2 linked regions of the Anolis sagrei genome follow. The protein of the gene in region 1 interacts with the protein of each later gene in a pairwise test. Links are inferred from orthologs where the notes say so. Each region holds a gene or a part of one and is shown on either strand. Other genes may lie near its edges.

What was found.
Region 2: the proteins of TPP2 (region 1) and POLB interact in binary tests that used the Homo sapiens proteins (3 or more experiments, as listed by UniProt). The two-hybrid records come from large-scale screens. The link is inferred for Anolis sagrei from reciprocal best matches to the Homo sapiens genes TPP2 and POLB.

The regions. Positions count from the first base shown.
Region 1 is NC_090023.1:113,554,129-113,563,213, reverse strand, and holds the start of TPP2 (tripeptidyl-peptidase 2), read left to right. Parts: upstream 1-5,688; 5' UTR 5,689-5,959; coding exon 5,960-6,124; intron 6,125-9,085. UniProt on the Homo sapiens protein: Cytosolic tripeptidyl-peptidase that releases N-terminal tripeptides from polypeptides and is a component of the proteolytic cascade acting downstream of the 26S proteasome in the ubiquitin-proteasome pathway.
Region 2 is NC_090027.1:22,804,507-22,813,465, reverse strand, and holds the start of POLB (DNA polymerase beta), read right to left. Parts: upstream 4,074-8,959; 5' UTR 3,977-4,073; coding exon 3,916-3,976; intron 1,254-3,915; coding exon 1,196-1,253; intron 1-1,195. Other genes in the region: UFM1 (ubiquitin-fold modifier 1), read left to right, coding at 4,219-4,220, 4,304-4,360, 7,317-7,374.

The sequences.
Region 1 (9,085 bases):
AAGATCACACCCACATATGGGAGCATAGCTAATGGAAGTGCATCCTTGAGCTTATTATGGGATGTATGCAACATAAGTTATATACATGTGGAAGTTAGATGATTCCTTTGATGTAATACCAAACATTTCCTCTGTTTCTGGACTTTCGAGTATAAAAGGCACTTCTAACATTGAGTGTGTTTGTATTTTAGGAATGATTCTACCTCATCTTTTGCTGTGCAGTGAAATACATCTTTGTTGGATCTCCAATCTAGTGTGTGTTGGGACACACAGGGCACACAAATTGGGGAAAGCCATCACACTATGTGATTGCAGAGGACTTCACATTTGATGGTTTATGTACAGTAGAGTCTCGCTTATCCAACATAAACGAACAGCAGAACGTTGGATAAGCGAAAATGTTGGAAAATAAGGAGGGGTAAAACGCCAAATTACATTATGATTTTACAAATTAAGCATCAAAACATCATGTTTCACAACAAATCGACATAAAAAGCAGTTCAATACACAATAATGTTATGTAGCAATTCTTGTATTTACAAATTTAGCACCAAAACATCGCAATGTAATGAAAAAGCTGTGGATCGGGCAGGAGGCAGACTGCGTTGGATAATACAGAACGTTGGATGAGCGAAGGTTGGATAAGTGAGACTCTACTGTTTAAAGATCCCCACATTTGGCCATAGTAATGGAATTGCCTGAGAGAAATCCCTTCTAGAACTTAAAAGCAAGATCTTTACACCAATGCCAATTGCCTCTCTAGCATACATTTCTGTTTGTTACTTGTGATATTTAATTTATGACTAATAATTCTTAAGATTCCACTGTGTGCAACCTAAGATGTTTTAAAAGAACTCAAGGCAGTTGAAGGGTGTGTTGGGAAAAAATGTCTCTTAAAATATGCAGAACTGAGATTGAACACTTGGATGACAATCTGGGCTTGGTCAGGAATACTGAGAACCCTATCTTTTACCCATCTCAGTTGGGAGAGCACCAAAACAGGAAACAGAGTTCAAACCTTATTTATCTACTAGCTTACTTGTTCTCCTTGATTTGTTTCTATGTTGAGTGAACTACTTTAAAAAAATCATTATACACATAATCTAAACTTCACCATTAAGACCACCAGTTGTCACTTGCAGATACCAATGTCTAGTTTGATTTCCATGTTCAGAGAGTATCCGATTATTTTAAGGCATGTTATCTGCCCCTTTTGTTTATGTGCTGACTCCACCCCCACCCCCACTGCCCACAAAAAAAAACAGTTTGTCATTTGACTGAAATAATTATGTTTTATGTTCAAGACAGCTCACCTCCATGTAGGAAATCATGGCATTTACTGGTAGATTTTATGCATTTATATGAACTATCTCCTCAAACTGGAACCTATGGCAACATACAAGTTTTAAACACAAAACATTTAAAGAGTAAAACACAAACTATAATATATAAAAACTATCCCATTCCTACTATTTTGGACAACTATATACCAGTAACTTATTTACCATTCATTACCAAGAACCTGGAATGGGTGGTGGCCAAACAACTCCAAAGATTTTTGGATAAAGCTGATTTTCTAGATCCATTTCAATCTGGATTCAGGCTGGGACATGTGATGGAAATAGCTTTAGTTGCCTTGAGTTGCCTTGAGAGCAGAGAGCTGGACAGGGGGAGTGTGACCCTGCCAGTCCTTCTGGATCTCTCAGCGGCTTTCAATACTATCAACCATGATATCCTTCTGGAGTGACTTGCGAGGATGGGACTGGGAGGCACAGTGTTGCAGTGGTTCGTCTTTCCTTTTGGGCCACCGCCAGAAGGTGGTGTCGGGTGGGGAGGTCCTGCTCAGCCCCATGGTCTGTGGACTGTGTGGTCCCGCAGGGCTCATCTTTATCCCCAATGTTGTTTAACATCTACATGAAACCACTGGGAGAGATCATCCAGAGGTTTGGAATTCAGTATCATCCATACGTGGATAATGCTAATCTCTATTACTCCTTTCCAACAGATGCCAAGGAAGTCGTTCCACACCTGAACCAATGCTTGAGGTTGGTAATGGACTGGATGAGGGTAAACAAATTGATGCTTATTCCAGATAAGATGGAGGTACTGCTGGCCTTGCGTAAGATTGATCCAGAAATAGGGTTACAACTTGAGCTGGATGGGGTTACACTCCCCCTGAAATCCCAGGTTTGGGGATGATTCTGGATTCTGCCTTAAATCTGGAAGCCCAGGTGGCAAGGTAACCAGGACTGCCTTTGCACAACTAAAACTTGTGTGCCAACTGCACCCATTCATGGAGAAATATGACTTGGTCACTGTGGTACATTTGGACTACTGTAATGTGCTCTACATGGGACTGCCCTTGAAAAGTGTTACTTACCAGGTTACTTATGGAAGTTGATTCCAGGAAGCACACCTGTTGAAACAGCTCCATTGGCTCCTGATTTGTTTCTGGGTCCAATTCAAGGTGCCGGTTTTAATCTATAAAGCCCTGCATGACTACCAGCCTGTATAGGGCGTCCGTGTCCCCGTATACGGGCCAGTAGACCTCTAAATTGTTTTTAAATTGTTTTTAAATGGTGTTCAATTTTAGCCTGTTCTTGTAAGCCGCTCTGAGCCCCAGGGGAGTGGCGGCATATAAGTTCAAATAATAAATAAATAAATAAGGTCTAGTAAGGAGACCCTGATTTTTACACAGTCCCTGGCCAACATCCACTTAAAAATCACTAGAGAAGGGACATTCTTGGGGGCGGCTTCTAAGTTGTGGAACTCACTGCCAGAGGAAATTAGATTGGTTCCCACCATCATGATATAAGAAAGACATGAAGACTTTCCTCTTCGAAGCAACTGAAGCCAGTAAAAATGAATTCAAAAGAATGGGAATTTTAGGCTAAAATTTACTTTTAATGTTTAATAATGAGGAAAGTTTTAAAGAATTAGTGAACCTCTAATATTTGTATAGTTATGGTTTTTAATTATTTGTATGTCTGATATAATGTGAGCCGCTTTGGGTTCATACTGGAGAAAGGCAGCATAGAAATTTCCGTAACAAATAAAATAAATACATTGAATTAAAAGCAATCCAACACACAATTAAAAAGCACCGAATCCTTCCTCAACAGTCATTAAAAGCTTGACCTGCTGACAAGGCTAGACAATCCCATATCAAATGTCTTGCTTGGCCCGATCTGCAGCTACTGCATTCTGCTGACTGTAATTACAGAGCTCTATTAGACTGGGAACCTTGTTTAACATGTAAGACTTAGTAATTATGTTCACTTAAACACATTGACACCACTTTTAGATGCCTTTCATATCAACATTTGGTGGGGAAGTGGAAAGGGCAGGTCAAAAGCGTGGTTCCTTGGTATTCTGTATGAGGCTTAGGAAAAATGAACTAGAACTAGATCCTCACAATTATCAAAATGGGTGTACCTACAATCAAGATGTCTTCAAAATAACATGTGAAGATGTTTATAGTGTCAAAGAGGGAGACAGCTTGCATAGCATCATCTGACACTGCTTCTCCTAGAGGAAATCCAAGAGATGACTCACTAGGACTCCTTCTACACTGCCATATAATCCAGATTATCAAAGCGGATAATCCACATTATCTGCTTTGAACTGGATTGTATGAGTTTACACTGGCATATAATCCAGTTCAAAACAGATAATCTGGATTTTATATGGAGGTGGAAGAGGCCTAGTTCCTGCATGAAAGACTATCTAATGAAGGAGAGTCTGTCCTTCCTACAGATGATCGGCTTTGTTTTTGAACAGCTCTTATCATGAAGAGGTTTTTTCCTGATGTTCAATTGAAATCTGTCCTCCTATAATTTGAAGACATTTACTCTAGTCTGTGGCAAAAATGATTTTGTGAATAACTTCAGGTCCTGGATTTTAATAGCTTGCAATTCTGGGAGCTGTTGCCTAAATCATGAAGTTGCAAAGTTCTGCAGTAACAAGACTGTTATCATTCCCATTCCCCTTCATCAGGATAAACATGACGAGTTCTTCAAACTTTTCACATAGGACTTCTTTTTGTTCTGCTGTCCATATGTGAAAATGTTCTTCCTTCCTTATGTTCCAATTCAGCTTTATCTGTCAGTCAGGGATGAGCACAGTATACTGTAGCCTCCATTGACCCTAGCCAGCATCACCAACCTGAGAGTTGCAGTCCAGCAGCATCTGTAAGGGCCCAATTTGCCTGTTCTAAATGTACAGTGCCCAAAATTGGATATTGTGCTACAGCAGAGTTCCCTATATGTCAGGAAAAAAGAGAGAAGAGAAATAGAAAGGGTAAACACAGAACAAAAAACCAAGTAGACTGGAGTGTCCAATATCCACAGATATCAACTCAAGATCTTCTGTTACATCATGCTGTGCAGGAAGGCATTCTTCCATTTCTAGCTTCAAGGCTGTTATTGGGGGACTGCTCTGATAAGCATATTAGCTGCAATATTGTCCTCCACTGTCTTCTTCTGTGAGTTTTTAATTCACACTTTGAATTCTTTGTGCTTTCATGAGGCACCCATGGTTCCTCATGCAGAAAATATTTTTCTCAGAATTTCTGATGCCAACTCTTGAGACATAAAAACTCTGTACTCCATGCAGATTGTAGGACACACTTACAACTGCTATAAAGTAGACATATGTTCAGCAATTCACACAGAAATACACATGTTTCATTCTACAAACACACTGAATACAATCTGATGATTATCTACACCATAGTTCAGGATTCTCGAAACCTATCTTTACAATTTCAGCAGTATGTATGTACACAGTACATACTGTGTATCTGATGAAACTATGGATAACATTGAATCCTATAGTTTACCAATACTTGGATCAGAAACATATAATAAAATAACACTGGAGAAGCTAGGGAGGTGCACAACACTTCCAGGACATTTGCTCTTTTTTTTCCCCTTCCCTTTTTTTGGTGCTGGTTATTGACCTTATTTATTTATATCCCGCTTTATCTCTGCTGCAATATTATTAGTAATATTATATTATTACATATGATTGTATTGTACTATATTACTCTACCACTCTCTACATGTATTGCCATGTTTAAGTAATAATGCTGATTTTGGTGCATCCTCCATATTTGTATTCTTATTCTTATTTATTTAAATACCCTTTTCCAAAATTGTTGTATAATTTTACAGGATCACTATATATGAAAATATGAGCCTATTTCCTGACAGCCTCTCCAGTACTGATTTAAGCATTTTTATCTATCTGATTTAATCTAATCGGGATCAAGTACCATATCCATACCGTTTTGTAATAGTTTTCCTTAATTATTATGGACATATTTTTATTTAGTAATCGCATACGCCATACCCTGGCCCATTCTTGGTTCTCCCACCGGTATATTACACGATTAGTATAATAAATATGTATGTTCCTGTGAAAAGGGCCTTGGGAGCGCTATGGATCCCAAACGGAACCTGAGCCAACAGAGGAATCTCGCGTTGTTTGAGGGAGAAACAGCTTGGGTGGCGTAGTCGAAGATCTCGGACTTGCCGGCCCCTTTAAGAAACGCGGTACTTATTTCCTCATTGGTCTGAGCCAGGACCAATCAAATTCCAGTTCTCTTCTCGCGCTTCAACCTGATTGGCTGCTTCCTTCCGGGCGTCAGCTCTGCTCTCCGCAAAATCTCCCTTCCGACTTCGGCATCTGTTGTAACCAGTAAAGCAGCTCGCCGCGCTCTCTTCGGGGTGGTGGATTCCCATTGGCTGAGCAGCGCGCGCATGCGCCGGCCGGGAAAAAGAAGCCTGAAACTCTCTTCCTTCCCGGAGGAGCCGCGGTCTGGGTTTGCCAGAGCCGTGACGTCACCTGGGTCCGCGCGACGCCTTCCTCGTGTCGCGTGCGTGCGTGCCTGGTGGCCCACCTGACCCCCCCCTCCCTCCCTCCCTCCCCCGCCTCGCGCGTTTTCTCCTCACCCAACATGGCGGCGGGGGCCGTGGAAGAGCCGTTCCCCTTCCAGGGGCTTCTTCCCAAAAAGGAGACCGGCGCGGCCGCCTTCCTCTCCCGCTACCCGGAGCATGACGGGCGGGGGGTGCTAGTGGCCATTTTGGACACGGGGGTAGACCCCGGCGCCCCGGGGATGCAGGTAAGCGGGGCGGGCGTGACCTGTTGGTGGGGCTGCTTTTGGCTTGTCTGAGGGAAGAAGTTTGGGATCAGGAGGGATTTATGATGACTTCTGAGGGCCTCTGTTTAGAGGAAAGTACAGTAGGGAATTTTCTTAGGCCCTCAGAGGAGTAATCGCGCTCATCAGCATCCAGTGCCTGAAATGGTCAGAATTTAGTCGTTTGTAGAAACGAGCCGCAACCACAGGGAAAGCCCTGCTGAATCCAGCCAAAGGCCTTTCAAGCCCAGCATCCTGTTTCTTACACAGATTGAGGGTTTTCTGAAATGCTTGGGAAATCCACCAGAAGTGTAGATTTGACCTTATATTTTATTAGTATCGGTGTCTGTCCTTGATCTGTGTATATTTAAATCTATGCACTTTTATCTGGGTTTTGCATTTTATCTGAGTTTTCACCATGCTGTACCCTGTCTCAAGCCATGAAAAGAACCGCATAACAAGGAAAATGTATTATTAATATGTGATTTCAGATTATTGTTGTTGTTGTTGTTGTTGTTATATGGATCTCCCGGTGGCACAATGGGTTAAACCCTTGTGCTGGCAGGACTGCTGACCGAAAGATCGGCGGTTTGAATCCAGGGAGTGGGGTGAGCACCTGTCTGTCAGCTCTAGCTCCCCGTGCAGGGACACAAGAGAAGCCTCCCACAGAATGGTAAAACATCAAATATATATATATTGGCATTGAATCTTGCCAATACTTTTTGTACACGGCTTTGAACCCCCCCCCCCCCAGGAGTGAGAATATAAATGCAGTAAATAGAGAAATATCCGGGTGTCCCCTGAGCAACATCCTTGCAGAAGGAAAAATCTCTCACACCAGAAGCGCCTTGCAATTTCCTAAGTTGTTCCTGACACAAAAACATTATTATTATTTTGGGTTACCTGTATTTATTCCCATCTACATGATGAAAGATTTCTGGGATGTGATCCAAACATAACATTCATTTATGCATGTTATGTTTAAACACATAGCCTGGGGGTAATTGTATATGCTACATTTGTAATAATTTAGTGCATGGAACAAAGCTTGTGTACACTGAACCATCAGGAAACAAAGGTGTCACTATTTCAGCTTCCCATGTGGATGATTTTGCATCTCAGAGTATTTTGGAATCCCAGAGAAAGCATGCTCATGATGTCTGTAGTGGGAAGCTTGCAAGCATAACGTGAATTGTCTTGTTTTGTAGTGTCCTCTGAAATTGTTTCTTTGGATACAATACCACTGAATTGTTGAGGTAGCACATTATGTTTGGAGGCACTAACAGAATTATTGTTGTAATTGAAATAAAGGTTCTGCAGGAACCTGGTTTATTGTGCATATGTAAGCAAATCATAGATTTAGCATGACATCCAGAGCCGATAGGATAGAGGTTTCCAAATATTTCATGTTGGTGACACACGTTTTAAACACATATCATTTTGTGACACAGTAATTCAGTTTTACTATCAAACCGGAGTTTAAACCAATTCCTGATAAGAGATACAGGTACATACATAATTTGGAATAACAAAATGTATATCTCATATTTATTTTTATTTCACATAAACACAGAGGTTTCTCATTATTTTCGTGCAACACATTTACACACTACAACCAACACATAGTTTGGAAAGTTCTGCAATAGAAGAATACTTTTCGAACTTGAAATACTTTTGCCCCAAATATCTGATCACCTCAATTAACCTTTTGGCAGGTGTTGGCAGAGGACTGCATTGACATTTGGCTTCCTCTGGTTCTATAGGCTTCATTTTGTTCATTCCTGTGCTGAACATATCCTGAAAGCCATGTTTTCTTTGCTTACTTTCAGCAAGTGAGTGCTTTTGGACCAAAGGATTCAGTATGCTAGTTCATGTATAACTAGCTTGGATTCTGCTACTGATAGTGGTGTCTGCAAAAGCCTGTAGAATGGTAGAAAACAAATGTCTTTTTTAATGGCAAAATGAAATCACTTGGGTTTGTTGCAGTGGAAGAGCTTGTGGTTGCATTAAGATACTTGAAGAATGACCAGAAATTTTGTTTTGGAGCAGATTTAAAAATGTATCATTTTTTAGTTGTAGGAATGCCACCCTCTCGTAAACACTTTATTCATCTTCCTAAAGAAAATCATTCCACAACAATCTGTTCATTTTTCCTTCTATTTTTAAATGGCATCTTGGAGAGGGAGGATATTTTATAGACTTTCACAAATCTATGTGATTTCATTTCAGTGAGCAAAAGCAAACCAGTTCTTTCTTAGTAGGGATTGGGTCATATCCTCTAACTATAGTTATGCTTACTGTGTATTATGAATGAGGATTTTTTGTAGTGTTAGCTGCTAATCAGAATTAGATCAAGGGAACACCTTGTTTACACCCTGAGGAGGAAGGAGTATACATTTTTTAATATGTGGGAGCATGACACCAAAGGATGTTTGCTTTTGTGAAGTCAGTGTTCAGGCAGCAGTGATGATTATAATGTTTGCCACTTATAAGGGTGGATAATACATTAGATGTGCTATTAAAGAAAAGTATTTCTGCCTGTAAATGGACTGACATTACTGTATATAGTGTGTAAGTTAACCTCTTGTGTAAGTTGAGGGCAGATTTAATTATGGATTTTGATTTCATATGATCTGTGGATAAGTTGAGGGTCATTCTGGGAAGAGAGATAAAGCACCAAGTGCCTCATTGAGATCAGCTGCCAGTGGCTGTCACTACCATTTTACCACCCAGGAATTCAAATAGGCCTGATCTATTACTAGATATTTATTAGGTCTGTTGGTTTACTTGTGGTTTTGCTGCAGTTTATCTCAGGGATAGTATGAGCTCCTTCCCTTTTTGGCTGCCAAGAGCGGGAAGGTAGCAGTTTACTTGTGAGTAAGCAAATCGACCATCTCGCCTCAGTTGCCTAGGCTTATCTCCTATCTCAACTGTTGCTCCAATTGC
Region 2 (8,959 bases), on another chromosome or scaffold:
GAGCCACCCACCGCAGTCAGCAGCCAGGCACCGGAGTCAGCAGCCAGGCACCGCAGTCAGCAGCCAGGCAAAGCTACGGAGCCACCCACCGCAGTCAGCAGCCAGGCACCGACCGGCGGCACGGCGCGTCCTCGGTCCGGCGCGTCCTCGACCCCGGGCCCGACGTGGCGGAACGTGTCCCCGAGCGGGCACAAAGGATGGCACCCGTCCTCCACCCGAGCGGCCTCAAACCCGTCCGAAACGCCGGAGCAGGTCAGCAGGGGACAAACATGCAGTCCAGGGGAGTGAGGAGCAGGGAGGGAGCAAGTTTGTAAGCCCACGAGCTGCAATGGTGGCTAGCCGCTCTACCTCCTTCTTCTTTCCAGTTCTGCCTCTGTCGGCGTTCCTTCAGCGCTCCTTCAGTTGCTTCCCCAAGGCCACCTTCGTGACCCTGGTTTGACAGCTATAGGAGCGGTTTTTTTTTTATGGCCCAGGCGGCAAGGTTTGGTTGGTTAAACTTCTTTCCTCTGCCGGAGCTAAGGTTCGCTGCTCCTACCATGCCGCCATCTTAGTGTTATTATTACATTTCCATTATTTTACTCTTATTATTATTGTCACATTTATTATTTTACTGTCTTTACTGGAAGGATATGTAAGAACATTCACACTGAAGAAGGTTAGAATAATGGTTTAAATCAGAGTTGGAGAGTCTTATCTTAAATTACAATTTTATGTAAATATTCAAAAACATTTATCCTATTGAGCCCTCAATTAAAGTAATTTTATTGGTATCTATTTTTATTTTGAAATTTACCAGTAGTTGCTGTATTTCCCACTCTCAGCTTATATTTGAGTCAATACGTTTTTCCAGTTTTTTGTGCTAAAATTAGGAACCTCTGTTTATATTCGGGTTGACTTATACTTTAGTATATATGGTAATGAAGAACCTGCCTCTCCATGGATAAGAGGTGAAATCAAGTTCCTCCTGTATGCCGTTTCCTTCTTGCAAGACTACACCAAAGGAGATGGAGAGACAGAGACTGGTATCAGATTAAAGGAGGCTGCCCTTGACACAATGCAACAGTATCAGACAGGTAGTCAAATTGTAAAAGAAAAGGGACAAATATGATGTTCTTTTCTTCTAACATTTTTTTTGGCAGCAATATTCCCATCAAAACCTAAAATACTTCCTTCCCTCCCGTCATGGAGACCTCACCTGTAAGCATTGTATTTGTGGATGGCTCTGTTCACATTTCTCTCATAGTTGGCCAGTTCTGAAAAGAGGATTTGTTGCAAAAAATGTAAGTGGCAGTAAAGAATACAACAACAGGTACCTTCATCTAAGCCATTAATAAAGATGTTGAGCAGAACTGGGCCCAGGACAGGACCCTCTTCCTGGCACTCCACTAGTCCCGTCTTTCCAGGATGAAGAGGAGGAACCATTTAATTATTTATTTATTTATTTATTTATAACGGCTTTTATATTCCTCCCTTCTCACCCCGCAGGGGACTCAGGGCGGATTACAGTGTACACATATATGGCAAACATTCAATGCCAATTTTTTGACATACAAACATATACAGACATATACAGAGGCTATTTAACTTTTTCTGGCCACCAGGGAAGCTGTCGCTTTCATCGTCCATCTGCGATGCTGATGAAGCACTTCCGCATTCCCCGCATGCTTCCCCGCTGGAATGCTTTGCTGGAGTCTTCTTTATGGCTCATAAATCAGTTAATTTAGCCTCCCCACACTTTAAGGTGATACCTTATTTTCCTACTTGACAGATGCAACTGTCTTTTGGGTTGCAAAGCTCGACAACAGGCTACACACAATTGGTTGGAAACCCATTCCAACCCGGGCTGGCTTCGAACTCATGACCTTTTGGTCAGAGTGATCTTAATGCAGCTGACACTCAGCCAGCTGCGCCACAATCCCGGTGCCATTGGGGAGAAGCGCCCTTTGGGTTCGGTCGCTTAACCTATGGCAGATCGACCTCATTGTCCAGCCCACATAGAGTCATAGAGTTGGAAAAGATCTCATGGGCCATCCAGTCCAACCCCCTGCCAAAAAGCAGGAATATTGCATTCAAAGTACCCCTGACAGATGGCCATCCAGCCTCTGTTTAAAAGCTTCCAAAGAAGAAGTCTCCACCACACTCCAGGGCAGAGAGTTCCACTGCTAAACAGCTCTCACAGTCAGGAATTTCTTCCTCATGTTCAGATGAAATCTCCTCTCTTGTAGTTTGAAGCCATTGTTCCGCATCCTAGTCTACAGGGAAGCAGAAAACAAGCTTGCTCCCTCCTCCCTGTGGCTTCCTCTCACATATTTATACATGGCTATCATGTCTCCTCTCAGCCTTCTCTTCTTCAGGCTAAACATGCCCAGCTCCTTAAGCTGCTCCTCATAGGGCTTGTTCTCCAGACCCTTGATTATTTTAGAGTGTCAATATCTCTCTTCAGTTGTGGTGGCCAGAATTGGACACAATATTCCAGGTGTGGTCTAACCAAGGCAGAAAAGAGCATGGGGAGCATTACTTCCCTGGATCTAGACACTAAAATAATAGAATCCTAGAGTTGGAAGAGACCTCATGGGCAACCCAGTCCAACCCCCTACCAAGAAGCAGGAATATTGCATTCAAAGCACCCCTGACAGATGGCCATCCAGCCTCTGTTTAAAAGCCCCCACTAGTCCAATGTGGGTTAGGCAAAATTGCGGTGAGGTGGATCAGTAATTGGTTAAATGGACAAACCCAGAGGGTGATTCTCCCCAATGCTTCCTCTTCATCCTGGAAATAAGTGACGAGCAGAGTGCCATCAGCAGGGTTCCGTCCTGGGCCCGGTCCTGTTCAGCATCTTTATTAATGACTTAGATCAAGGATTAGAAGGCAGGTTCATCAAGTTTGCAAACAACATCAAATTGGGAGGGATAGCCAATAGTCCAGAGGACAGGAGCAGGATTCAATACGATCTTGACAGATTAGACACAGATTAGAAAACTAACAAAATGAAGTTCAACAGTGACAAATGAAAGATACTCCACTTAGGCATAAAAAATGAAATGCAAAGATACAAAATGGGGGACAATGCCTGGCTTGAGAGCAGTACGTGTGAAAAAGATCTTGGAGTCTTCGTGGACAACAAGTTAAATATGAGCCAACAATGTGATGTGGCGGCAAAAAAAGCCAATGGGATTTTGGCCTGCATCAATAGGAGTCTAGTGTCTAGATCTAGGGAAGTCATGCTCCCCATGCTCTAATCCGCTTTGGTTAGACCACACCTGGAATATTGTGTCCAATTCTGGGCACCACAATTCAAGAGAGATATTGACAAGCTGGAATGTGTCCAGAGGAGGGTGACTCAAATGATCAAGGGTCTGGAGAACAAGCCTTATGAGGAGCGGCTTAAGGAGCTGGGCAAGTTTAACCTGAAGAAGAGAAGGATGAGAGGAGATATGATAGCCATTTATAAATATGTGAGAGGAAGCCACAGGGAGGAGGGAGCAAGCTTGTTTTCTGCTTCACTGGAGACTAGGACATGGAACAATGGCTTCAAACTACAAAAAAAGGAGATTCCACCTGAGCATGAGGAAGAACTTCCTGACTGTGAGAGCCGTTCAGCAGTGGAACTCTCTGCCCCGGAGTGTGGTGGAGGCTCCTTCTTTGGAAGCTTTTAAAGAGAGGCAGGATGGCCATCTGTCAGGGGTGATTTGAATGCAATATTCCTGCTTCTTGGCAGGGGGTTGGACTGGATGGCCCATGAGGTCTCTTCCAACCCTACGATTCTATTATTCTATTCCAGGTAGAAGAACAACATCTGATCCCTCCCGACAGATGGCTTCCAGCTCTTCCAACTCTTTGATTCTATGAAAGGAGGAGCCTCCACCACACTCCTATTGATGCACGGGGCTGGTCTTCGTCCTGAGGCCCACCTACCGGTGAGGAAGTCGGTGATACCGTCGTTGGGGTTTTCCTGAGGGGCTTTCCTCTTGCTCATGGCGACGGGAAGCCCTCCAGCGCTCTGATGATGCCCACTTCCGGGCTTGGCCACGACCACTTCCGGGCTTGGCCCCGCCCCACTTCCGGTGCAGCTTCTCAATCTCTCTTTGGCTAGAGAGCCCCGCCCCTCCCTGCGTTAGGTCACGTGGGAAGGCCTGACAGGAGAAAAAACACACCCCCGGAAGTGACGAAGCACGCGGAGCCGGGAAGTGGGCCCTGCAGCAGCCGGAGGCGATCAAAATGTGAGTCCGCGGGCAGCTTTTCTCTCCGTTTGGCGGCTCTTTCTCGGCCACGCTGACGCCTTTCCTCTCCGCCTTTCCCACAGGTCCAAAGTCACGTTCAAAGTCACGCTCACCTCCGACCCGCGGCTGCCTTACAAAGTGTGAGTCCCTGAGACCTGAGGGAAGGGAGACGCCTGGGGAGGGCACTGCGCATGCGCGGGAGGTGCATTGGACACGTCGCTTTCCAGAGGGAGGGGCGGGAGAGAGAGAGATAGAAGGCTGTGAGTTGTCACTTCCGGCAACCTGTAGAATCAGTCTACAACAGTGGTTCTCAACCTGGGGTCCCCAGATGTTTTTGGCCTTCAACTCCCAGAAATCCTAACAGCTGCTACACTGGCTGGGATTTCTGGGAGTTGTAGGTCAAAAACATCTGGGGACCCCAGGTTGAGAATCACTGGTCTATAATGTTAAAGTTTTTATTATTATTACTAGCTTTACCCCCCCCCCTCCGCCACGCCTTGCTGTGGCCAACCATCCCCTCTCTTTTCTTTCTTTCCTCCTTTCTTTCTATCCTTCTTTCCCTCCCTTTTTTTCTTTCATTCTCTCCTTCCTTCCTTCCTCCTCTTCCTCTTCTATTCCTTCCAATTTCTTTATAATAATAAAAAAACTTTATTATTATTATTATTATTATTATTATTATAAAGCCGTTCAGCAGTGGAACTCTCTGCCCCGGAGAGTGGTGGAGGCTCCTTCTTTGGGAGCTTTTAAACAGAGGCTGGATGGCCATCTGTCAGGGGTGATTTGAATGCAATGTTCCTGCTTCTTGGCAGGGGGTTGGACTGGATGGCCCATGAGGTCTCTTCCAACTCTTCGATTCTATGATTCTATGAAATGCGAAAGAGAAATGGGATCATACCACCACATGTGGTGGGATTGTAAGATCATTAAGAAATACTGGATAACAATCCACAGGCCCTGTAAAAATATTATCAAAATAAAATACGAATTGAAACCCGAATACTACCTGTTGAATATAATGGATTTTGAAATTGGGAAAAACGAAGAAATTCTTTTTTATCTCACAGCCGCAGCGAGAATTACGATCGCCCCAAAATGGAAAGACAAAGACCCCCCAATAATAGAGAATTGGCTCTCCAAGATTGGAGAATTTATGAATATGGATAGACTGTCACAGCTAATTAAAAATCAGAAAAAGGAAAATCAAACCAATTGGAACCAACTCAAAAAGTACTTGCAGGAAAAAATGAAGATTAATATTAATACGATAATCAAAATATTCGGATAGCGACGACATAAAGAAAACATTTTCTCTAGGATTCTATGATTCTAGTGTCTAGATCCAGGGAAGTCATGCTAACCGTCTATTCTGCCTTGGTTAGACCACACCTGGAATATTGTGTCCAATTCTGGGCACCACAATTCAAGAGAGATATTGACAAGCTGGAATGTGTCCAGAGGAGGGCGACTAAAATGATCAAGGGTCTGGAGAACAAGCCCTATGAGGAGCGGCTTAAGGAGCTGGGCATGTTTAGCCTTAAGAAGAGGAGGCTGAGAGGAGACATGGGGGCCATGTATAAATATGGGAGAGGAAGCCACAGGGAGGAGGAAGCAAGCTTGTTTTCTGCTTCCCTGGAGACGAGGATGCAGAACAATGGCTTCAAACTACAAAAAAGGAGATTCCAACTGAACATTAGGAAGAAGTTCCTGGCTGAGATCTGTTCAGCAGTGGAACTCTCTGCCCTGGAGTGTGGTGGAGGCTCCTTCTTTGGAAGCTTTTAAACAGAGGCTGGATGGCCATCTGTCGGGGGTGATTCTATTATTTATACCCCGCCACCATCTCCCCAAGGGACTTGGAGCAGCTTACATGAGGCCAAGCCCAACGACACATCAATAAAAACAAAAGCAACAAACAAAACAATAAACACAATACAATTAATATAAATCACATATAAACAATAACCAATAAACTGTAGCACACAAGGATTTAAGAACCTATGGCCGGCAGACAAGAGTCCTTTGTCCCACCCTGGTCATTCCACAGATAGATAAACCCCTTTTTCCTAGTTCCAACAGACCTCACTACCTCTGAGGATGCTTGCCATAGATGCAGGCGAAATGTCAGGAGAGAATGCCTCTAGACCATGGCCATACAGCCCGAAAAAACCTACAACAACCCACCAATAGTTCGTTTATTTATTTATTTACAGTATTCCAACCTTTTCACCCCACAAGGGACTCAGGGTGGATTACAAGGCACATTTACATGGCAAACATTCAATGCCTTTAGACATGCAACATATATAGACAGACATAGACAATTTAACATTCCAGCTTTCTGGCTTCATGAGGGTATGCTTGATTCCGACCACAGGGGGAGCTGCCGCTTCACCATTCGCTTGTAACACCGAGTCCTTGATGGAGTACTTCCTCATTCTTATGCACACTGCTGGAAGGTTTTATGGTGTGGTAAATTAGTTAAGTTAGCCTCCCCGCATAAAGTGGTACCTAAATTTTCTACTTGACAGATGCAACTGTATTTGGGCTGCATAAGTCAACAGCAAACTAGACTATTAATGGTTGGGAGCTCACTCTGACCCGGGCTGGCTTCGAAGTCATGACCTCTTGTTCAGTAGTGATTTAATGCAGCTGGCTACTTGGTCAGTAGTGATTTAATGCAGTTTGGCATTCCAGACTTTCAACTGATGTCTCCTTTTGTATCTCTAAAAAGGGTGATGGCCTGTTTATTGCTGGGCCTGTTTTTTGTTTGTGTTTTATTTTCCTGTCAGGCTGTTTTTCTCATGCCAGATTCTAACACTAAAGACTAAGGCTATTTATTTGCCCAAACTATTCCTCATACCATTGCTATTTATTAATCAAATTAAATAGGTGCCCATTGCCCCCTTCACTGTGGGATTAATGCAGTTTAACACCACTTGAGCTGCCAAATCTCAATGCTGTGGGATGCAGGAAGCTGTAGTTTGGTGAGGCACAGGCACTCTTAGGCAGAGAAGGCTCAAGGCCCTGTGAAACAGCTACTCCATGATCCCATGATTTGTGTTCTGGTCTCACAGTTGTGTTATTTCCGGTTTCCTGTAGACTGAGCGTGCCTGAAGTCACACCGTTCACGGCTGTCTTGAAATTTGCTGCAGAAGAAGTAAGTTGCTCTCTTATTTTCCCAAACAATGTCATGGTTGCCATTTTCTTGTGCTTTTTTACTTGATTTGTTTCAAGAGATTCCCAAAGCAGGGAATAAAAGCAGCAGTTACGTAGGAGCATCAGGACACCTTTATGCCCTTGCTAGAGCAGAATTGCACTGTTAGTCTTTGGCATAAAGCATGTCCAAGTATGGTCCCATGCAATGGCTCTTTGCATCAACTTTGTGTTGCTATGGATACTTCTCATGAGTATCTTTAACTCCTGTGAGTCTTGGAGTATTTTTTGTGAGAAGACTAAACCCATAGCAACTCAGCCTGTAGCCTTTACCCCTCAGAGTGAGAGAGGCCTCAGTATGAGAAGGCCTTTGTAGGAGTAGGCCTCAGTGTGAGTGGGCCTGGTGTGAGAAGCTTCAGTGAGAGGAAGCCCTAGGTTGAAAGCCATTGTGGGTGAAGCTCCAGTGTGAAGGCTGCTGTGCGTGAAGCTACTGTTGAAGCTCTCGTGTAAGTTTGGCGTGGGAGGAAGCTCTGTGAGAGTGAAACTAGAAGCTGTTTATCTGCATGAGAAAGAAGCCCAGGGTGGAAGCAAAGAAGGAAGTATAAAGAACTTTATTTGTGTTTATTTGGAAAACTTGTTATTTTAAATAGTGCATTCCTATATTTTACTACAAACAAAAGCCTCCTGTGGAAGAGATTTTATTTATTTATTTACGACATTTATATGCCGCCCTTCTTACCCCGAAGGGGACTCAGAGCAGCTTACAAGTAAAAAGTAAATACGATATATTATTATTATCTATGGAGGTTGAGAAGATCGGGATATAAAAGTTTTAGATAAATATAGTATATTGTACTGTAACATTATACTGTAGTATTATTAGTAATATTACATTTAATACATTACAATATTATCAATATATGTATATACAATATATTATATTATAAGCACAGTGCAGGAGACAAGATGGAACTGCCTAGGAAGGCCCCTCTCTTCATTCTGATCTCAGAGCAGCAGTTGGTTTCTTGGGGGGGGGGGGGGCTCCCAACTGATGACACTGGAGACAAGTTGGAACTGCTTCCATGGCTCGTCCCTTCATTCTGATCTCAGAGCTGCAGTTGGTTTTTTTTGGGGGGGGGGGGGGTCCCCAACTGGTGACACAGGAGGCAAGTTGGAACTGTCTTCATGGCCCCTCTCTTCATTCTGATCTCAAAGCAGCAGTTGGTTCTTGGGGGGGGGGGGGGCTCTCAACTGATGACACTGGAGGCAATTTGGAACTGCCTTCATGGCCCCTCTCTTCATTCTGATCTCAGAGCAGCGGTTGTTGCTGGAGGGTGAGGGCTCCCAACTGATAACACTGGAGACAAGTTGGAACTGTCTTCATGGCCCGTCTCTTCATTCTGATCTCAGAGCAGCAGTTGGTTCTTGGGGGAGAGGGGGCTCCCAACTGATGACACTGGAGACAAGTTGGAACTGGCTTCATGGCCCCTCTCTTCATTGGTCTGCGTGTTTTTGTTCTTTATCTCACTTTGAGCTACTGATTCACACTGCTGTACATTTATGAGGAGGGTCTTTTGTTATTAAGCTTA